Linked DNA regions of Mytilus edulis. The protein of the gene in region 2 purifies or fractionates together with the protein of the main gene of each other region. This does not show direct contact. Links are inferred from orthologs where the notes say so. Each region holds a gene or a part of one and is shown on either strand. Other genes may lie near its edges.

Region 1 (12,210 bases), on a different chromosome or scaffold from region 2:
GGGGGTCAAAATACCATGTCTAAGCAAAATTTTCAAAACATCTTTTCCAGTATATCAAATATATACAAACTACTTATTGGAGTATTATAACTATGTTATGGAGTTAGAATAGATTGAATTTTTGAAATTCAAGGTCTATAGTAGGGGGTTCAATATACCGCAGGGGGGTCAAAATACCATGGCTAAGTAAAATTTTCAAAATATCTTTTCCAGCATGTTTAACACATACAAACCACTTATTGGAGTATTATAACTATGTTAAGGAGTTAGAATAGCTTGAATTTTTGAAAATCATGGTCTATAGAAGGGGGTTCAATATACCGCAGGGGGATCAAAATACCATGGCTAAGTAAAATTTTCAAAATATCTTTTCCAGTATATTAAATACATACAAACTACTTATTGGAGTATTATAACTATGTTAAGGAGTTAGAATAGCTTGAATTTTTTAATGCAAGGTCTATAGTAGGGGGTTCAATATACCGCAGGGGGTTCAAAATACCATGGCTAAGTAAAATTTTCAAAATATCTTTTCCAGTATATTAAATACATACAAACTACTTATTGGAGTATTATAACTATGTTAAGGAGTTAGAATAGCTTGAATTTTTTAATGCAAGGTCTATAGTAGGGGGTTCAATATACCGCAGGGGGTTCAAAATACCATGGCTAAGTAAAATTTTCAAAATATCTTTTCCAGCATGTTTAACACATACAAACCACTTATTAGAGTATTATAACTATGTTAAGGAGTTAGAATAGCTTGAATTTTTGAAATTCAAGGTCTATAGTAGGGGGTTCAATATACCGCAGGGGGGTCAAAATACCATGGCTACATGTAAGTAAAATTTTCAAAATATCTTTTCCAGTACATCAAATATATACAAACTACTTATTGGAGTATTATAACTATGTTATGGAGTTAGAATAGCTTGAATTTTTGAAAATCATGGTCTATAGAAGGGGGTTCAATATACCGCAGGGGGGTCAAAATACCATGGCTAAGTAAAATTTTCAAAATATCTTTTCCAGTATATTAAATACATACAAACTACTTATTGGAGTATTATAACTATGTTAAGGAGTTAGAATAGCTTGAATTTTTTAATGCAAGGTCTATAGTAGGGGGTTCAATATACCGCAGGGGGTTCAAAATACCATGGCTAAGTAAAATTTTCAAAATATCTTTTCCAGCATGTTTAACACATACAAACCACTTATTAGAGTATTATAACTATGTTAAGGAGTTAGAATAGCTTGAATTTTTGAAATTCAAGGTCTATAGTAGGGGGTTCAATATACCGAAGGGGGGTCAAAATACCATGGCTACATGTAAGTAAATTTTCAAAATATCTTTTCCAGTACATCAAATATATACAAACTACTTATTGGAGTATTATAACTATGTTATGGAGTTAGAATAGCTTGAATTTTGAAATTCAAGGTCTATAGTAGGGGGTTTCAATATACCGCAGGGGGGGTCAAAATACCATGTCTAAGCAAAATTTTCAAAACATCTTTTCCAGTATATCAAATATATACAAACTACTTATTGGAGTATTATAACTATGTTATGGAGTTAGAATAGATTGAATTTTTGAAATTCAAGGTCTATAGTAGGGGGTTCAATATACCGCAGGGGGGTCAAAATACCATGGCTAAGTAAAATTTTCAAAATATCTTTTCCAGTATATTAAATACATACAAATTACTTACTGGTGTATTGTAACTATGTTAAGGAGTTAAAATAGCTTGAATTTTTGAAATTCAAGGTCTATAGTAGGGGGTTCAATATACCGCAGGGGGGTCAAAATACCATGTCTAAGCAAAATTTTCAAAACATCTTTTCCAGTATATCAAATATATACAAACTACTTATTGGAGTATTATAACTATGTTATGGAGTTAGAATAGATTGAATTTTTGAAATTCAAGGTCTATAGTAGGGGGTTCAATATACCGCAGGGGGGTCAAAATACCATGGCTAAGTAAAATTTTCAAAATATCTTTTCCAGTATATTAAATACATATAAATTACTTACTGGTGTATTGTAACTATGTTAAGGAGTTAAAATAGCTTGAATTTTTGAAATTCAAGGTCTATAGTAGGGGGTTCAATATACCGCAGGGGGGTCAAAATACCATGGCTTAGTAAAATTTTCAAAATATCTTTTCCAGTATATTAAATACATACAAACTACTTACTGGTGTATTGTAACTATGTTAAGGAGTTAAAATAGCTTGAATTTTTGAAATTCAAGGTCTATAGTAGGGGGTTCAATATACCGCAGGGGGGTGAAAATACCATGGCTAAGTAAAATTTTCAAAATATCTTTTCCAGTATATTAAATACATACAAACTACTTATTGGAGTATTATAACTATGTTATGGAGTTAGAATAGCTTGAATTTTTGAAATTCAAGGTCTATAGTAGGGGGTTTCAATATACCGCAGGGGGGTCAAAATACCATGTCTAAGCAAAATTTTCGAAACATCTTTTCCAGTATATTAAATACATACAAACTACTTATTGGAGTATTATTACAATGTTAAAAGTTAGAATTGCTAGAATTTAAAAAAATTTAAGGTCTATAGTAGGGGTTTCAATATACCATGGACATGATGGAAGGGGGGTCAAAATACCATGGCAAAGTAAAATGTTCAAAACATCTTTTATCATGTTCAATACATACAAACTACCTATTGGAGTATTATTATGATGTTAAGGAGTTAGAATAGCTTGAATTTTTGAAATTCAAGGTCTATAGAAGGGGGTTCAATATACCACAGGGGGGTCAAAATACCATGGCGAGGTATGTATTAAACTTGTTGGAAATGATATTTTGAAAATTTTACTTTGCCATGGTATTTTGACCCCCCTGCGGTATATTGAACCCGCTACTCTAGACCTTTAATTAAAAAAATTCTGGCAATTCTAACTTTTTTATGTAGTTAGAATACACCAATAAGCAGTTTGTATGTATTAAACTTGCTGGAAAAGTTATTTTGAAAATTTTACTTTGCCATGGTATTTGGACCCCCCTGCCGTATATTGAACCCCCTACTCTAGGCCTTTGATTTCAGAAATTCTGGCAATTTGAACTTTTTTATGTAGTTAGAATACACCAATAAGTAGTTTGTATTTATTAAACTTGCTGGAAAAGATATCTTGAAATTTTACTTTGTCATGGTTTTTTGACCCCCTGCGATATATTAAACCCCTTTCTAATAGACAATTAAAAAAAATCTGGCAATTTTAACTCTTATATGTAGTTAATATACACACACAAGTAGTTTGTATGTATTAACTTTGATGGAAAAGATATTTTGAAAATTTTACTTTGCCATGGTATTTTGACCCCCTGCGGTATATTGAACCCCTCACTCTAGACCTTTAATTTAAAAAGTTCTGGCATTTCTAACTTTTTTATGTAGTTAAAATACACAAATAAGCAGTTTGTATGTATTAAACTTGCTGGAAAAGTTATTTTGAAAATTTTACTTTGCCATGATATTTTGACCCCCCTGCGGTATATTGAACCCCTCACTCTAGACCTTTAATTTTAAAAGTTCTGGCATTTCTTACTTTTTTATGTAGTTAAAATACACAAATAAGTAGTTTGTATGTATTAAACTTGCTGGAAAAGTTATTTTGAAAATTTTACTTTGCCATGGTATTTTGACCCCCCTGCGGTATATTGAACCCCCAACTCTAGGCCTTTAATTTCAGAAATTCTGGCAATTTGAACTTTTTTATGTAGTTAGAATACACCAATAAGTAGTTTGTATTTATTAAACTTGCTGGAAAAGATATTTTGAAATTTTACTTTGTCATGGTTTTTTCCCCCTGCGATATATTGAACCCCTTACTAATAGACAATTAAAAAAATCTGGCAATTTTAACTCTTATATGTAGTTAATATACACACACAAGTAGTTTGTATGTATTAACTTTGATGGAAAAGATATTTTGAAAATTTTACTTTGCCATGGTATTTTGACCCCCTGCGGTATATTGAACCCCTCACTCTAGACCTTTAATTTAAAAAGTTCTGGCATTTCTAACTTTTTTATGTAGTTAAAATACACAAATAAGCAGTTTGTATGTATTAAACTTGCTGGAAAAGTTATTTTGAAAATTTTACTTTGCCATGATATTTTGACCCCCCTGCGGTATATTGAACCCCTTACTCTAGACCTTTAATTTCAGAAATTCTGGCAATTTGAACTTTTTTATGTAGTTAGAATACACCAATAAGTAGTTTGTATTTATTAAACTTGCTGGAAAAGATATTTTGAAATTTTACTTTGTCATGGTTTTTTCCCCCTGCGATATATTGAACCCCTTACTAATAGACAATTAAAAAAATCTGGCAATTTTAACTCTTATATATAGTTAATATACACACACAAGTAGTTTGTATGTATTAACTTTGATGGAAAAGATATTTTGAAAATTTTACTTTGCCATGGTATTTTTACCCCCCTGCGGTATATTGAACCCCTTACTATAGACCTTTAATTTCAGAAATTCTGGCAATTCGAACTCTTTTATGTAGTTAGAATACGCAAATAAGTAGTTTGTTTGTATTTTACTTGCTGGAAAAGATTATTTGAAAATTTTACTTTGCCATGGTATTTTGACCCCCCTGCGTTTATTGAACCCCCTACTCTAGGCCTTTAATTTCAGAAATTCTGGCAATTCGAACTCTTTTATGTAGTTAGAATACGCAAATAAGTAGTTTGTTTGTATTTAACTTGCTGGAAAAGATATTTTGAAAATTTTACTTTGCCATGGTATTTTGACCCCCCTGCGGTATATTGAACCCCCTACTCTAGGCCTTTAATTTCAGAAATTCTGGCAATTCTAACTCTTTTATGTAGTTAGAATACACAAATAAGTAGTTTGTATGTCTTTTACTTGCTGGAAAAGATATTTCGAAAATTTTACTTTGCCATGGTATTTTGACCCCCCTGCGGTATACTGAACCCCCTACTCTAGGCCTTTAATTTCCAAAAAATCTGGCAATTCTAACTCTTTTATGTAGTTAGAATTCACCAATAAGTAGGTTGTATGTATTTAACTTGCTGGAAAAGATATTTTGAAAATTTTACTTTGCCATGGTATTTTGACCCCCTCCCCCTTTTTTTACCACGGAAAATCAAAACTACCCTTCTATATATATATATATACATAAGTTATAATTACAAATAATTAAAGCATTCAAGCTACATATGGTCTAGTTATAATGTGTCAATAAGTATTTTGAATGACATTTTGTTGGTAAAGACTTCAGAGCACTTATACCAAGCAAAGATATTTCTTTTAATTAAGCATGGAAAATGTACCTCCCCTTCTTGTATGAATGATTTTTTAATCTATGATAAGCTTTAGAATAATGTAAAATGTTCTAATATTCATCTAGGATGAAAAAAACAGGGGGGTTCAATTTACCATGGGGGTTCAATTTTCCATACAGGGGGGGGGGGTTCAATTTACCATGGGGGGGTTCAATTTACCATAGCGGTATTTTGACCCCGGGGTCAATTTACCATGGGGTTCAAAATACCATATGACACCGGTGCCCTACATTTTGTACATACATTTGTACATGAATATTTGTTCTTTATGTCATGTTGTGCCAGCTGTTAATAATGTATTAATTAATTCTCCATCAGCTGGACTCATGTGCATACATTTGTACATGAACATGTACATAAAAAAAATTTCTCATGTTTTATAAGAATATAGGAAACTATAAAAACCAGATGCTCCGCAGGGCACAGCTTAATACGACCGCAGAGGTCAAACCCTGAATAGCAAGTATGGACACAACATTCAAGCTTGATACAGCTCTGAATTTGGATTGTAATTAAGTAGTTGACACAGCAGACTTAGGTTTCTGAAACAGAATGAATGTGATCTACATGTACAAATGTACTAGACTAAAGAGGGTATAGTGCTAATTTAGAATACAAACCAACAGCTTCTCCAATCATGAACATTACACAAAGGGTACAAACAGCAATCAACTGATTTCTTGCAGTTTTGTCATTGTTATTGTTATCATTGTTATGGCAGTGCCATTGGTCCAACAATGGGCTGTCACTGTCCGACCGATCAAACTGGACTGGGACAGCCAATCGTTCTTCATGGTTTGAAATACTCTCTCGACCAAAGCTGGAGTAGCTATTACCAAGGTCAGATATATTGTCATGATCTTGATTGTCTGGAATGTGGTTTATAGAATTTGTGTTGGAAGATTCCTTTTCTGTTTGAGAAGGTTGGAAATCCACTAATAATTCTGATGTTAATGACACTGTGTTATTGTGAGTTGATTGGTAATGATTATGGTCTTTGTTTCCACCCTCAGCAACATCATTGTAGTTGCTTACGTGAGTCATCACAGTATCCAAGTCAAATATTCATATCAATCTGACATATATATTCAATTTCGTGACAGTCCTACAGGAAGTGTTGATTTAATGTGTATGTCATGTGATTTCTTAAAAAAGAAAGTCTGAAGACCGAAATGAAGTGTGTTCAAAAAGTAAAATCAAGATTCACAATTGTTTTACTCTCTATATATATTATAGTTATATTTTTTATTTAGTGTGTTATCCAGTTGATTTATTTATAAATACATGCATATGATATGGTATAATTATCAACGCGTAAATAGACTAAAAACAATAAATAAGAAAAATTATATCCGGAATTTGTTCGTGTCTTTTCGATGACAAATCGACTTTGTAGTTTATTATTCGAATTTCCGTTTCAGTTGTGAGGATAAACAATTTTTCTTTAAACAGTTGAATCCTTTGTTCAATGTTTTAGAAAAGAAATGGAATGTGAATATACCAAAGACAGATTAAGTGAAGCACTTGTCCTCGCAAGAACTAGAGCAACTGATTTTGAAAGCGTGAAAAAGCTCAACTTTTGGTATTTTTTTAATTATTTTTAAACATGATGAGTGATGAGTTGAAATGATGATTGGGGGGGGGGGGGGGGGGGCTAGAGGGGGTCTCATCCCGATTTCCCGGTTTTAATATCAGAAAATCCCGAAATCCCGGACATATTTTGTTAAAAATCCCGATCCCGATAAGCAAGAAATCACCATTTATTTAATAAAGAGGTCCTCCACTATTTAAGATAACGAATAGAAACATCTGACACAACTTTTAAAGGAGGCTGTCCTGGTAAACTTTAAAAATTAACCCCTTTGAGTAATGTTGTTCTTAATTATTTGCTTTCAATTTGTGCATTTTGACCAATATATTTAGTACGTACAAATGTACATTTTAAACACGTCAAGTTGGGGTATTTGTTTTCTTCAAAATTAATTGCAGAATGCCAGAAATATTTTTATATAATATTCGATTATAGAGAAGACTGTGTCTGTTAAATTAGATGTGTAGTAAAAAGGCGAAGAAAAAAATACATGTGTTTCAGGTAACATCCCCTAAAAAAATAGGATCGGTAGGAAAGCAAAATAGTTTTTTTTTAAACGTTTTTGACTGGTTCATATGGTAGAAAAATTCTGACTTAACAAGTGCTTGTCCACATAACATCCAATAACCTTTTGAGAGTAGAGTTAGATTATAGGTACTTAAAATTAGGGTAGATATATATATGGGGGCATATGTGTTTTCTTTTAGGTCTTACTCTTATTGAAAATATCCAAATCAAGAAATATCCAAATCAAGTCTAACTTTTGGGAAGGGTTGTAAAGAGGTGTTATGTTCACGGACAAACGCGAAATAAAATTCCAATTTCACGATGAACGAAAAAATTTTAAAAAATGCTTGCACGTTGCCGTTTTTACTAATTTCACAGTAAAGCAAAAACTTTTTTCACGGAAGGTTGTGAATTAAAAATGGTAAAACACGTTGCACGAAAAAAACCTTTACCACACTCTTTGGGTATACTGATACTCTAAATCAGAGCAACACTAATACCAAGGAGCTTAGACATTTATCATGAATTTTGGTTAGCATTTCATTCGCGTACAGTGGATATTAAATATGGCACTCAAAAAAACAAAAATAACAATAAGATCTGGATCTACTCTGTTTCTAGATACGATTCTGATTGAAGTATAATGAAGGGAGTGGCTATTTTGCCGGCTCTGGCAAAATAGCCTCTTAGGTGCTATGTTACCGGCTCTGGCAAAATAGCCTCCTTGGCGCTATTTTGCCGGCTCCGGCAAAATAGAGATTCAATTAGAGTTTTGCTATTTTGCCTGTCCTATTTCAGATTTTTAATCAAGATGATATGAAATATATTTTTTAAGGAAACTATTTATGCACAAATGATATATGTGGCTAGATGTCAAGAACAATTTAATGTTCGCCTTGCATTCCTGGTCAGTTAAATTCGGAGAACTCTACTCATTTAATTACATGTACATACGTTAATTTCTGTTGAACATTAAACGTTCAAAATAGAAAACAACAAAATGTGATGTTATAAAACAAACTTGATTTTCGACAGATATGAAAAGCTTCAGCAGGTTTTAGAGCAATTTGAAAACGACAACTATGTGTAACTGAGGAATTGTGAAACGAGGACTACAAAAATCATGAAAACCAGATAAAAAGATTAATACAAAAAAATTATTGTACACACAATGCATAGAAATCTAGCCATTGACAGCATTTGTTTTATGATTTTATGAATGCTGAAAACTAAAATGTATATTAATTATCTGCATTTCAGTCTGCAAAAGTGATGCAGACGCAAAAGAAACAGGTTTAGTAACGCTCATCGAGCAGTTTGAAATTGTTGGGTGTTACTTTTTGTTTCAAAACTAATATAATTTTTTTATTAAAAGTTTTAATCAGAATGTCTATTTTTTTTTATGGGTTTGTATGCTTTTCTTATGTGTATTTATTATATAAGAAATATATTTTAGTCTTCCTATCAAAGAAATAAGTACTAGTATCAATTTAAATGTTTTGCTTTATTTTAGACTTCCTATTAAAGAAAAAAGTACTACATGTAGTATCAATTTTGATATTTATGTTTTTCTTTTTTCAATATTTGAAAAATACACATTTTTAGAGACTACTTATTCTAAAAGTAAAGAATGTCAATTTAAATAAATTTTTAAAGAAGACATTTTAGTATAGAGATTCCTTATTAAAGTGTATGTTTCTATCTTTTTTTCTATTCTTAATTTCTATACTTATATTAAAATCTTAGTTAAGACCGGCAAAATAGCAAAACTCTATGTAAATCACTATTTTGCCGGAGCCGGCAAAATAGCGCCAAGGAGATGATGAAAATGGCACTTTTATCTGTCCAAGGTACAGTTTTTTGTCAATCCCATTATATTTCAACATAAAAATCCCGATTTCCCATGGCTAAAAACGTGGGTTTCCCGTATCCCGATGATTTTCTATCCCGAATTCCCGATCTTTAAACAAGGCAATCCCAATTTCCCGATGATTTTCTATCCCGAATTCCCGATCTTTAAACAAGGCAATCCCAATTTCCCGTTGATAAAATTGGCCAATCCCGGCGTCCCGAAAATGGTCTAGCCCCCCCTCATGATTCAATTTAAATTAAAGTTAGAATCACACACCCAAAAGTTCTCACTGCAAGAAACATACAACAAATATTTTTTTTTAAATCTACCATTTTTCTTCTTAAAAACTATGGAGAGAAAGAAAAGGAAAGATTTTGTACATGTGTATCTTATGGGTCACTTTAGCTGCGGAACCGTAGCTCTTAGGACCTAAGAGCTACGGTTCCGCAGCTAGGGTCACTTAGTCCAAATAATTATGACGTCTTGAAAGGCTATTATATTTTTTTTATTTGACGCCTTACTTCGACGTAAGGCGTCAAAGAAAAAAATTATAATAACCTTTCAAGATGTCAATTATTTGGACTAATGGGTCACTGTGAAAACTGTCTAAATAGCCTCACGGGACACAATTACAAACGATTTTTTAACTGTGATTAAAAAAATTTGGGATCGTTTAATGGTACGATGTCATCGTCGTTGTCTACGTTGCGTCGTCCGAAGACACTTTGGTTTCCGAATAATAACTTTAGTTAAAGTAAATAGATCTTTATAAAAAAAATTCAGAAGGTTCAATACCACAAAATGAAGGTTGGGATTTATTTTGGGGATGATGGTTCCAACCATTTAGGAATTAGGGGCCCAAAAGGGTCCCAAAACAAGCATTTTTTCTAGTTTCAGGATAATTACTTGTGTACAAGTATTTCAATTGCTCTGAAATTATATCACAATGTTTAAAACCACAAGTAGAAGGTTTGGATTCATATTCAGGGTTATGGGGCCAAAGTTTAGGAATTAAGGGCCAAAAAGGGGCCAAAACAAGCATTGTTCTAGTTTCCAGACAATAACTTGTGTGTACTTGTATGGATCTCTGTGAAATTGTACCACAATGTACAATATAACAAAGAGGAGGCTGGGATTAAGTTTTGGGTTAATTGCCCAAAATATGTAGGATTTAGGGGCCTAAAAAGGGCCAAAAAGAAGCATGTTTCTAGTTTCCAAACAATCATGACGATAACTTGTGTTTAAGTGTATGGATCTTTCTGAAATTGTACTACAAGGTTCAATACTACAAAAGAAAGCATGGGATTGAGTTTAAGGGTTATTACTCCAATGGGGGTTTCAAAAAGTGGGGGGTGCGGATTTTTTGTTTACCATTTTTAAAGGGATTCCTTTTTTTTCAAAAATTTTCAAATTTTAAATTTTGAAAAGTTTCAAGAAGAAATATTCAATTGCACAGTATTGTGCAATAGATTTGTTAGATCTTTGACCACATTAATTTTGTGACAAAAACCCATATTATGTAAAAAAAAAAATTGATCACAATCCAAATTCAGACAGTATCAAGCTTGAATATTGTGACCAAATTTGCCCCCACTGTTCAGGGTTCGACCACTGGGGTCGTATATAGCTGCGCCCTGCGGAGCACCTAGATAAAAATAATTGTTTGTTATGAAAAAACGTTACCTGATGACAGCGTTTCATTGTTCAAGCGCTATCATTGGTCAAGAGTAATGTATTTTCAGAATGTATGTAACTTTAATCAACCGATAGATGGCCCAACATTGTTAATACAAATATTGGCTTAATCTGCCAAGGATGGAGTGCAGGGGAGTAGATTGTAACACTTGGCTAGTGAAGAGGCATACATGTATGAAATCAACTGTTCAGTCAAATATTTAGTATAAAAAATAAGATTTGGTATTATTGACAATGAGACAGCTCTTCAAAAGAAATCAAAATGACACAGAAATTATCAACTATACATGTACATTGTAGGTTACAGTATGGCCTTTCAATAATGATTAAATCTATACTGCATATACATAAATTTGTAGTCAGCTATAAAAGGCCATGAAATTACAAATGTAAAACAATTCAAACGAGAAAACTAACAATTTTATGTACAAAATAGTGAATGAAAAACATATGTAACACAGCAACAAGCAACATCCACTAAATTACAGGCTCCTGACTTTTATAAAACAACAAAATTTATATAGCATTGATAACGGTTCATATACATGAAAATTGATATAACATTAAATTTATTGTTTTTAATAAAGTCAGGTCATTCATCAGCATGATCATAACATTAAAGAATTGTGTGCATTTCGTGTATTTATGACATTTACATAGTTTTATTTTTTACAGGGGTTCAGGAATTAGAGATGTGAGTGTTGTGAAGAAACTTCCAAATTTAGAAGTATGTAGCTTAAGGTAGGCCATATTTCCTATCTATAAAAAGACTTGTTAAAGTACTAACACAAAAACAGGGGTGGTGTTCTGGAAAATATCCTAAGATTCATCCTACATATAGGACACATGGATCCTTATACCAATGTTAGGATAGACTCTTAAGTTTCATTGCATGTTAATCTTCACATAACCATTTAACATGATCTTAGGACACTTAATTTCGGAGTCCTAAAGTTAGGAGGGAAGATGCAATATCTTAAGTTAAGAGATGGTTGAGAACATGAAATACATGTAGGACAAAGATGTGTCTGCCATAAGATGATCTTAAAACACATGCTACAATGTAATCCTAAGATACATTTGTAGTTTCAAGATCACCACCCTATTATAAATTAAAGCTAGATTTTCAAGATTTTTGAATTAAAATCTACATGTACTGTGAGTAATATTGAATCTGACAGTGATTTAAAATGTTATGTTGTT
Region 2 (12,210 bases):
CCTTATCCTCTTCCAAATCATGACCTCAAATATTTTATATGTAATTTCCATTCCCTCTGAATCATGTGAACATTTTCAATTATATAGCAACATAACAATACAAATAATGAAATGAGGAAAATTTCCTATCTACATCATCTATTCTTCTTAAGGTGGTACCCAACACCTTCACTAAAATTAAATTGGCTCGTTTAATTTTCATAAAATTTTGACAAAGTATTTACTTTGACCCTTTGACAAAAATATAAGAATTTCAAAAAATTTGAACCAATCATTTTATCAGAAAAATTACACTGGTTACATAGCAGTTTGACAAACACTAATTTTGATCATTGAGAAGCTTAATATTCCCTTAACAATGCAACGTTATTAAAGCGTTCAGCTGATTTTACAGAGTTATCTCCCTGTAGTGTTAGGTACCACCTTAAATCCTAATCTGTTTATACATAATAATAATTATTTTCAATGAAAAGCATGCACAAAACCCTTATGCATATTTTACTGTAAATAATATAGATATAAGCTCACCTGGTCTTCAGGGAAAAGGAGGCCTCTCTGGCTGCTGATCTTATGATAAAGGTCACCTAAAAAATGAAAGTCAATCATAAAAAATTAAATTTCAAATTGTAACTAAACTGCAGAACAATATTGGATAGGAGTTTTTTTAGCCTGTAGTTATTGTTATGATTATTGCTCACAGCTGATCATGATTTTAAATTTTAAAAAGAAATATTCTATAAGAATGTCATTATGAATATTATCAATAAAGTGGACCATAGTCCAATGGTTTCAGTAAAAGCAATCTTTAGTCAAAACTTATTAATACCTGGCATGCTAACAGGAGAAACCCATTTCAAATGGTACCACTACATTATTTCAAATGATTCATTTTTATAGCACTGTCATGACTGTTCGCCTGAATTTGCAGAAGAACACTAAATAAGTGCAACATGTTCATTGAACAAATGAGTATGAGTTGTTTACATGTAAAATTTCATCATATCATGAACACACAGAAAGACTTATTATATTTCACAAGCTTCATTAAAACATACCTTTCTCACAAAAGTCCATAACAATATGTAAATACCCCTTTTCTGAAAAATAAAAATAAGAAAATATTGCAGTAAGATGCTATTTAATATAAGTTATTACTACAATCAGTACAATGGGAAACAATAACCCCACTAATTAATTGATCATAACAATAGAAGTTAACCATTATAGGTCAAGGTATGGTCTTCAACACAGAGCATTGGCTCACACAGAACAAGCTATAAGGGGCCCCAAAAAATTACTAGTGTAAAACCATTCAAATGGGAAAACCATATCCATGAATATCACAATATGTATTGTAATGATAAACATGATAAATATACATTGCCACCCCTTAATAAACTTTATTAAAAAAAAATAGATATACTAAAGCAGATTCTGGCAATTATGCCAGTTTTGAATATATTGTACCGATAAAAATATCTCAAAAATGCCATACAGATAAAATAAACTTACCTTCAAAAGATTCTCTGTATCGTACAATATTTGGGTGATGTAACTGGGCCAGTACTGAAACCTGTCATCAAAAATAGTTAAACTAAGATATTTTTAGGAAAGTGTCAAAATAAACATCATATAAATGAACACATGAATTAGCATGATGAGTGAATACCTCATCGTTTGTTCATTGATCAACAAACACATCAATAAATGTTCAAAATTCATGAATTTAAGTAATTATATTAATTGCATAGCAATATATTTCCCACAGAAAGTAACCAACATTTATCGCACAATAAATTCTAATATTGCACTCATGCAATAAATCTTCAAAAATCATGATGTCATCAACGACAAAATCTTACTTTAAACCAATTTTTACTTCAAATATTATATTGCTATGCAATAAAAGGGTTATTGCATGAATAATAGGGAATATTGTCCCTCGTAGAACATATATTGCACTTGCAAGCTCGTGCAATATAAAATTCTACTCAGGACAATATTCCCCAATATTCTTGCAATAACCCTATAATATTATATGAAAATAACAATAAATTATAAAAATTGAATAGGAGTTCCATGGCTGCATTCGCATATATACTAAATAAATGGCAAATGTTTTCATATAACTTTATAAAATAACATAACTTAAGTTCAGTAAAAGTGACACAACCCAAATTCCTACTTGATCTGAGTTTAGTGGTAATAAGCATTGTGCATATAAGTTTCCTAACATTTGGTTGAGAAAGGAAACAAGAAAAATTCAGAAATTTTTCCATTTGTGAAGGGGCATAACTCTAGAAAGTTAAAGTGACATCACCCTAAATCAAATTTGATCTGTGTATTGTGGTATTGTAATAAGCATTGTATATAAGATTCATACCATTTTATTGAGGCACACTTACATGTATATAATTAACAGGCTTAAATACATGAAATAAGAGAAATGAAAAATTCAGAATTTTTTTTATTTGTAAAGACCATAACTATAGAAAAGTAAAAGTGACATCACCAAAATTCAAACATGATCTGTGTTTGGTGGTAATCAACATTGTGTATTTGATTGAGGCAAACTTAGGTTTTAGAGCAGAAAGGACAGCGGACAGACTAACAAGGGTAAAACATAATGACACCTTCACTACAGTGAGGGAATAGCTATCATTGGCTGTTGGCAATTCTGAGAGATTACTTTGTAGAAAACAGACAAAATTTACAACTACTGGATTGACAAATTGTAGCTACAGCTGTATATATCTGAATATTTTAACAAATAAATTGTATGTTTGGCAGACCATATATATATGACATGTTTGATATAAATGAATTCAAGATTTATGAATATGTTTTTTTATAGAGACAAACAACTTTTGTAAACATAGTAAAGATAGTTACCTCCTTTCTAGCATCTTCTCTTTCCTTTGCTTTCATCTGAGGAAACAAAGAAAGTTATTAACATATGAATTTAACTTTTATAATCATGATAATAGACAGTTCTTTTTATTTTAGAACAGAAGAAAGAATCTTTTAACCCATGTACAACTTTACACTGGAACACTATACTACATGCCACCAACAGTGGTTGTCTTCAAGACTAGCTTAAGGTAGATTGATGGTATACCGCCATCTTGGATTGAACAATCACAGTAAAAAATCGGTCTAGTTATTTGCCTAAATCTGCAAATTTGGAGACAGATTTGCAATTTGATGGTTAGACTGTTTAATAATATAAAGAAAACTTGGCAATTTATTGTATAATTCAAAATAATTAAACAAATATCATTTTATTTTGCTTTTTGAATCATTTTTTTCAAATGAGCCATTTAAGGGAAGATAACTCTTTTAGTAAAAGATTTATACTGGACAGATAGGTAATTTTTTTCTTTTTACTTGTAGCAAGAAAATAAGTTCAGTGACACCATTTTTTCTTTTTATTTTCTTAAAACATATTACAAAACCTATCTTTTCACAATTTATTTCAAAATTCTATCTCATAGATTATTTTTTATGCACACAATTGTGTTTTTCCATTAACAATCTAACCAAATTTAGGCAATTTTCAACGACTCATAGCTTGAAAAATAGCACGGTGACCCCTACTTTTTATTATTTTTTTGAAAAGAGCATATTAAAATCTTCATTATGGCTAAGTATAAGAAAATTCTGTCTCAAAAAAGATTTACTTATGATCTACCTTAAATGAGATGATCTTGACCGCTACCATCTAAGGATCTTTTTAATTTCAATGTAAAATGAATATACAATGTACATGTATATCACAAACCTCTCTGTTGTTTTATTAGTTATTACAATATGTATCTAAAATTGACAGAATAATCATCATGATCATGCAATGGTAAATTTTCTAACAACTACAATAATTTCATTGGCACATACTCATCAACAATAAATTATCTTATAAATTACAATAGTACTCCAAACTGACAACAACACTTCAAATCGTCTTCAATTTTATTTGCCATGTTTGCTATAACAACAACAACAACAACAACAACAATACTTTATTTCAAGAGGGTTACACAGTTAGCTATATAACTAATCTTCCCTGAGGCCCTCATCATGAGAAATCAAACAAAATGCAAACATATACATTGCATACATTAGTATAAAAAGTCAAGTATGATAATTATGTTTAGTACAACTTGATAAAATGTGATGTAAAAAAAATAAACATGATGACATGATCAGTTTTTAATATTATTGATACAGCTAGGTTGATTTCAATAAATGATCTGTTATTTTGTATTTGAAAGAATTAACATTTGTAATATTTCTTAACGGTATTGGCAAATTATTCCACAAGAATGGTCCAGAATACATAAAAGATTTTTTGAACAATTCTGTTTTTGGTTTAGGGAGTATGAGGTTTCCTTGAACAGCATTTCTCAAGGGGTATGGATTTCTGTTTGAAACATAATGAAACTTGTTAGTAAGATATGATGGGGCATTATTTTTAATGCACTTAAATGTCATCACTAACTTATGATATTTTATTCTCTGTTCAACTGTCATCCAGTTTAAGTGTTTGAATAAGGGTGCAGAAGGAGCGAATGGGTCTGTTTCTAGTATTAATCTAGCAGCCCTCTTTTGTAATTTTAATATCCTTTTTTAAATACACCAATCTAAGATTCTTCCTAGCTATGGTCTACATGTTTCACCTGCAAGGCAGGCTTCATCAGGACAATTTTTATACAGAAATTAATCCCTGAAGTACTCAAAGTGGTGCATAAAATTTGACGTCGTCATGGTGAGAGAAACAATGAAAAGTGAAAGTAGCAATACAGAGTTATATATAGATAAGATAAATATAGAAAATTAAAGTTTGTTTAAAATGTAACTTGAGTTTGTTTTACTATTATATGATACATGAAATTGTTCTAAGGCTTGGTATCTAATTGGACGAACTTCCCATGGTTCCTACCACTTCGCAAGGCTTCTCTTCCAACCTTGCCTTGTGTATTATTTTAATGTTGCATTCATTTGACAACCCTGCATACCAAGGTATCCACTTCAGGGACTCTATCGAAATGATTCACACAGGCGTTGGTCATGTTGGTACACCTCATGGAGTTTAATTTTATAAATTACAAGTATAATCATGATAATACATATAATAGAATTTATCACTTTTATATTTCGGAATCAGTGACACTTCATTACTTGAACAATAGCATGAATAGACATGATAGACGTCATACAACAATCACTTTTCCTTTGTGGTCCTAGACATTATCTATCGTGACATCAAAATTTAGGAGAAACCTTTGTGATTAAGGACAAATAGCGATTAATGGTGCATGATAATGTCAATACTCAACAGACGAATTTCAAATTTGTGCTCTTTCCCCTTTATTTTCTTTGCCACAATGCTAATGTTATTATGTCAATGGTCAAAGTAGGAACCAATTATTCAATTAAGTTGTTTACACCATTTGAACTTAAGGACAACTACTGCAACTCATTCATAAAAAGAATCTTAGATTGGTGTACTAAACATGTGTAACCGGAGAGCATGTACAAATGTATCTACTCTACAAATTTATATCGTCACCACTGGGATTCAAACCCCAGTCGCCTGTGTGATAGTCAGTTAACCCATTGAGCCAAAGAATTGATTCCCTAGCTCAGTTGATTAAGACTGGCTTTATATGTTCTACTTGTACTAAGGAGGGGAAGCAACCCCGCTACACATGGGTGCCTCTTAAAGATCGCCGCTGCAAAGACCGACTCACCATGGCATACAAGATCCACAATTGATTGGTGGATATTGACCCCTCTAATTATTACAAACCCGGAGATTCAACAACCAGAGGAGGCCACCGCATACACCAACAGCGCACACTAAAAGACCAATACAGGTACTCCTTCTTCCCAAGATCAACCAGGGAATGGAACACTCTACCGGAAAAAGCCACAATAGCAGCTACACTAGAAGGGTATCAGGTCCGTTCGCGCCCAATATAGTTTCGCACCCTACACGTTTGCACCTCACATTTTCGCCCCCCACGTCCGTTCGCACCCTACATGTTCGCGCCCAATTTTTAATAAAATTTAAGTTAAATTGTTAGAAATTATTCATATGAATATAACAAATAATTGTATTCTATTTGAATAAAATTTGAGAATTTATTGAATAGATTTTTTTTTTATCAATCTGATGATTAATTATTAAATGTTGATTATGTATGATTATTGCTAATTGGTATCAGAGACGTATTATATGTCTCTGTTGGTATTTATAAACAGCCTAATTGGTGTTATTGTTTACTGTTGTTTATAAATCATGATTGTTGTTCTAAATTGCTTTGATGTAAATACTAATAAAATAAATATTAATCATAGCAATACACTTACCATGCATAAAAGCAGCAGCATACCAGTTGTTCAACATGTTGTCAGATTCGCACTTAATTGACTAGAACCAGTGAAAAACAAATTATTTCAATACACTAACCAAAACACGATTAAGAATTATTCAACTCACTCCGACTTTAAAACAAGGACTTTTTTTTTATAATCTTGTCATGACACAAAAAAACTTGTCAGTATCTCGAATTATTTAGAAACAATGGCATATATATTCATACCAATACACCTCCAAAAAATCGGTAAAATTGGGTGCGAACGTGTGGGGTGCGAACGAACTTTTTGCAAAATTTGGGTGCGAACATGTGGGGGGCGAATGTGGAAGGGTGCGAACGTGATTGGGTGCGAACAGACCCGGATTCCACTAGAAGAGTTCAAGGCCAGCCTTACCATCCTGCCAGAGGCCTTGACAGGAGCTTCACACACCTAGATCTCCTTTGACCCCAGATGTACATAGTTTTATTTGTAAATAATTTTCCTGTAAATAGTTTTTATTAAGTGAGGAGGGAAGGTCTCATGATTTCACGAGCAAGAGTCATTTATACACTCAAGAAGAGTCAGACTCTGTACTGAAAGAAGAAGAAGAAGACACATGCTAAAATGTATACTGTACCCTCAACATTTGAATTTCTTTAACGACATACTGCTGACCATTACTTTTATCCCTCACAAGCAATGCTTTGCCAAATGCTCCTTCGCCTATACTTTTAATTTTGGTGTATTTTTCCATGTTTATTTACTTTTTGATAAATTTATTTTTCTTTCATTACTTTCGATTTTCTTGAGATTAATTAAAAAAATTCTGATGGACCATGATGTAAAACTGTATGTTATATAACTAAATTGAATTTGGTTTAAATGTCTTGGTGGGTACAACTATAAAGAAAAATTCATTTCATTGAAATATTCGATGTAAAATTATATTTCGTAAAAGTGGAATTTCAGCGGAAGTGTACAAAATCACGGTCTCACTAATTAGCGACAACAAGAATTTTAGCGACAACAAGCGTCAACAAGCGACAAGAAGCGACAACAAGAATTATTTTAGCGACAACAAGCGACAAGAAACTATTTAGCGACAAGAAAACATTTTTTTGTAATTAAAATTAATTATTGCAATGAATTTTAAAAGAATATGCAAAGAAAATAATTTTAGCGACAAGAAAGTTAAAATTGATAGAAAAAAATGAAACATTATTTACATAATATTTTATCATCTATTATGAATAACAGCCAGTATTACGTTTAATCATTGTATTATGAGATTACTTTTCCTTGTGTTTTAGAACATATTATTTATCTTATAATTTGTTTTTTAAAACTCTTTTCGTGCAATATGTATTAAGCTCGCAAAATGAATTACTTGTGCATCATTGTCCTGAAAATATTGACACAAATTGTGAAATACAAAGAACTGAAACCAAACAGGAGGAAAAGAAAATTGAAATGTGAATGTTTTCATCTTTTTATTTGTTTATTGCCTCATTAAACGATATTTATCATGTTTATGCATATTGATTGAAGATGAAAGGAAATTAATGACAATCTTGAGTTTTCAACAGGTGTTCACTATTTACAATGATTGTATATTCTGGCGCGTGTAATTGTATAGTCTGACGCGTGTACAAAGTTGACGGTGTTAATTGGATGTTATTGTACACGCTTAAATAATAAAGATGGCAAAGCGTGGCTGAGAGTTCTACAAATAAAGCATCGAATTGACATAACAAGAGTACACTTAGAGCATAGTATTAAGCAAATGAATCAAAATATTATATTCTATTATGCCCGCTCCATATATATCTCCATTCGTTTATTCATACTTTGACTTTGATGAAAACAGATACATACATTATTTTATACATATTCTTCATATTTAAAAATAAAAAAAAGAAGCTCAATCTCTTTCTTTTTCACAAAAGTCAAATTTCTTCTTCTACCAATATACTATTTAAATATAAACTTCACAATCTCTTTCTTTCTCACAAATGTTTCATTTCTTCGTCTATCTATATAATAAAACATTTTAATTAGACATATCTGCTCGTATATTTAAAAAACCCATTAAATACAAATTTCTTTATATCTAATAAAAAAAAAATGTTTTATTGTCGCTAAATAGTCTTCTTGTCGCTTGTTGTCGCTAAAATAATATGTGTTGTCGCTTCTTGTCGCTTGTTGACGCTTGTTGTCGCTTCTTGACGCTTGTTGTCGCTAATTAGTGAGACCCCAAAATCATCCATAGTTTCGTTAATACAAATTTAAGATTTTCATAAAAAACGAACATAACAATGTAACATGTGTAAAAGAATAGTATTCTTTCTAAATTCAATATCGCTGCCTCTATCAATTATTTGATTTACCAAATATTTCTGATACTCATTATACTTATTTTATATAATAAATATTTCCAAAATAGTTGTCTTCGTTTCACCATTTCATCTTACATTTACAAACCAGCTGAAAATGGCGTCTGCTAAAGCACTTCGCTTTGGACAGAGTTTAAAAGAGCTGAGAATTCATTTATGCCAGAAATCTACAGCAAGTCAGGGTGTCAGGTTCGAACCTAATATAATGAGTTCATATTTAAAATAACATAAGCTGCTCATATCTTGCAAAATCACTTGCAAAATTGCATTTCTTTATAAAGACTTACGAAAAATAGAATGTGACCTTCACCAAAAATATCTTCATTTTAAAGTAATTGAACAAGTTCTTTATACTATGACCAGGGTTTAAATGTTTTGAGAGAAATGCCGATCAAATACCCGTCCAGGAAGGTTTCCATGGCATAGACAATGTAGTAGATACTAGTACTACTGAGTACTGTAAGTTAGCCGAATCCAGGTCCGTTCGCGCCCATTCACTTTCACACCCACTCATGTTCGCCCCCTTTCATTTTCGCACCCAAAGTCCGTTCGCACCCTACAGGTTTGCGCCCAATTTAATTGGTTTTGTGTTTAATACTTTGTAATCAAGTTTTGGCAAGTGTATTCTTATAAGTATATTTGTTGTCATTGTCTCAAAATAAAGTAAGACAGCATTTTTTTTTGTGCGTTGAATAAATCTTAATCGTGTTATCGATAGTGTATTGTTGAAAAAAATAAAAATCCTTTCTAAATAAAGTGGGATTCTGTCAACGTTTTATTTTGTGTTGAACAACTCTTAATCATGTTTTGGTTAGGTGAATTGCAATAACTTTGTTGCATTGACTTGTTTCAGAACAAATTGAGATTCTGACGACGTTTTTTTGGGGGGTGTTGAATAAATTTGATCATTTTTTGGTTATAATAGTGCATTACTATATTTTATTGTTTCATTGTTTATGTTGTTTCAGATCAAAGAGACCAAGCTGTTAAAAAAAATGATCATTTGTGTTTTTCATTTAAAATCTTCAATGTTTTACTCATACCAAGCTAAATATATTCAGTATTTACACCATAGCAAATTTAAAACAACAATCATGATTTTCCAATCATTCAACTGGAATTTGAATTAAAATTGGGCGCGAACGTGTGTGACAGAATATAAGTTCCCCCATAATATATGTTCACACGGTTACATGGAAATGTAACAATAATAAAATAATTATTGTTACATTGAAGACTAATTGCCGGAATGCAGGGCTGGGTAAGGAACCCATTAATTACGAATTTAACAATAGTAATTGAGTCTACGGTTTCATTAATTGCGTTATTTTTACATAAATACACTTCAATGTACGCTGGGACTAGTAATGTATCAGTTTTTTGGGCATGTTTTAGTCCGACGTATTTTGGTGAAACCACTCTAAGCAGCCTTTATACATACAAGTGATGCAGCAATGTGCACGTCAGTATTGCATACTGTACAATTCCATTCTGCACTAACGAATGACTATTGTGGATTATTATATGATTTTATGTTCACATCGCTCTGATTTCAATATCCAACTTAGCATAGCTGAAAAACTTATAAAACTTAAAAGTCAATTTGAATGCAATTAATGTTAACAGTTGCCAACATTCATTCGTTAATCGTTGTTCTTAATTGGCGAAAAAAATAAGCAACAAAACTAGGGAAGGCTAGTTTAAGTTTAATTAATCTACCGTACGTTGAAGTGCAGTAATGCAACAATAACTCAATGTAACCGCAGACACAAATATTATTGTTACATTCGTAATTAATCGGATCCGTACCCCATCCTGTATTCTGGCAATAAGTCTCCAATGTAACAATAATTATTTTATTATTGTTACATTTCCATGTAACCGTAACCAGTGCCTTGTTTTAAATTGATATGATGTAAAACCTGCATGTATTTAGCTTTGTATGAGTAAAACATTGAAAAATTTAAAAGAAAAACACAAAGGATAATTGTTTTTAACAGCTTACCACTTTGTTCTAAAGCGATCATTAAACAAAAAATTATAGCAATATACTAACCACAAATGAACCAAAAAAGATTAAAATTTATTCAACAACAAAAAAATTAGTCGAATCTCATTTTATTTAGAAACTATATATTTTTTTAACTATACACTATCCAAAACATGGTTAAGAATTATTTATTACAAAAGAAACGTTGTCTCACTTTATTTTGAGACAATGACAACAAATATACTTATAGCCATTAGGAATACACTTGCCAAATCATGACTACAAAGTTATTGAACACAAAACCAATAGAAATTGGGCGCAAACATGTAGGGTGCAAATGTGTAGGGGGAGAGAGTGAAAGGGAGCAAATGTGAATGAGCGCGAACGTTCCCAGATTCAATTCTTCTTTAGCTCAGTCTGTTAACAGGCTGACTTGTAACACAGAGGTCCCAGGTTCGAGTCCTGGTGGAGACAAGCAATTTTCAAATGAAAATCATGCGCTCCTGCACAACTACTGTCCTTTGACTTTGTACAAAAAGTTGCTTCAAATTCAGAAATCAACAGTATTAACACTCAAAAAGACTTAACAGGTATGGACTTTGACAAAGTCCCACACCAAAGACTCATCGTTTTTATTTGAATATACACATACATGTGAAAGTCATATACAAATCTATCAAATCTAAAAAATAGTTATTGGTACATCCCTCAACACAGAGCCTTTTCTTTCACTGAACAGCAAGCTATTAAAGTGGCTCAAAATGACCAGGGTAAAAAAAATTCACAGTCCAATAAAAAAAGATAATTTTTAATTGAGAAACACTTTTATCTGAAGAATCTGTAAAAGTCCAGTAGAATCTCACTTTTGGTTGACGAATAGTTTAAATTCTAAAAAGTTAATATTTAATGAAGTCAAATTCTATAAAGTTAATATTTTATGAAGTCAAAATTCATAACTAGACTGGTATTTAATTTCTTCCTTATGCTAATGATAGTCCATTCCACTCATATGAACCACATCAATAAACTGAATGACAGGTTCCTGACTGCTTGAAGTCCAGTGACAAATTATGTTTTACTATTCAAAACATTGAATAAGGTGAAGTAACTTTCCAATGACAGGAAAATCAAAATATATACTTATATGTTGTAATACATTGTATATTTTAATGTTGTTATTTCAGAGAGTTCATAGAGAATTACTATGTTGGTGTTAAGCAGAGTAACCCTAAATTTCCTATTTTAATTAGAGAATGTAGTGGAGTACAACCAAAAGTCTATGCTAGATATGGTTAGTTATTTTTTTAGTTTTCTTTAATATACATGTACATGATTATTTTTTTGATATATATATATACTAGAACACACCCGCGAAATCGCGGGCATATACAGCTTGTGAACTGTTGTAGGATGATTTTTTGTAAAAGATAATTTCATAAAAGGTATCAAAAGCGCTCTACCTTTTTC

Evidence for each region.
Region 1: the proteins of serine/threonine-protein kinase Nek1-like (region 2) and cilia- and flagella-associated protein 410-like purify together in Homo sapiens (affinity purification with mass spectrometry; 3 studies listed by BioGRID and IntAct, with this or other methods). This does not show direct contact. The link is inferred for Mytilus edulis from reciprocal best matches to the Homo sapiens genes NEK1 and CFAP410.

The regions. Positions count from the first base shown.
Region 1 is NC_092345.1:36,558,001-36,570,210, reverse strand, and holds the start of cilia- and flagella-associated protein 410-like, read left to right. Parts: upstream 1-6,763; 5' UTR 6,764-6,846; coding exon 6,847-6,944; intron 6,945-11,682; coding exon 11,683-11,748; intron 11,749-12,210. Other genes in the region: proton-coupled zinc antiporter SLC30A2-like, read right to left, coding at 5,983-6,406. UniProt on the Homo sapiens protein: Plays a role in cilia formation and/or maintenance. Plays a role in the regulation of cell morphology and cytoskeletal organization. Involved in DNA damage repair.
Region 2 is NC_092351.1:3,607,456-3,619,665, reverse strand, and holds the start of serine/threonine-protein kinase Nek1-like, read right to left. Parts: upstream 7,359-12,210; 5' UTR 7,115-7,358; coding exon 6,998-7,114; intron 2,929-6,997; coding exon 2,893-2,928; intron 1,574-2,892; coding exon 1,513-1,573; intron 1,098-1,512; coding exon 1,056-1,097; intron 585-1,055; coding exon 529-584; intron 1-528. Other genes in the region: NADH dehydrogenase [ubiquinone] 1 alpha subcomplex subunit 2-like, read left to right, coding at 8,851-8,942, 11,928-12,034. UniProt on the Homo sapiens protein: Phosphorylates serines and threonines, but also appears to possess tyrosine kinase activity. Involved in DNA damage checkpoint control and for proper DNA damage repair.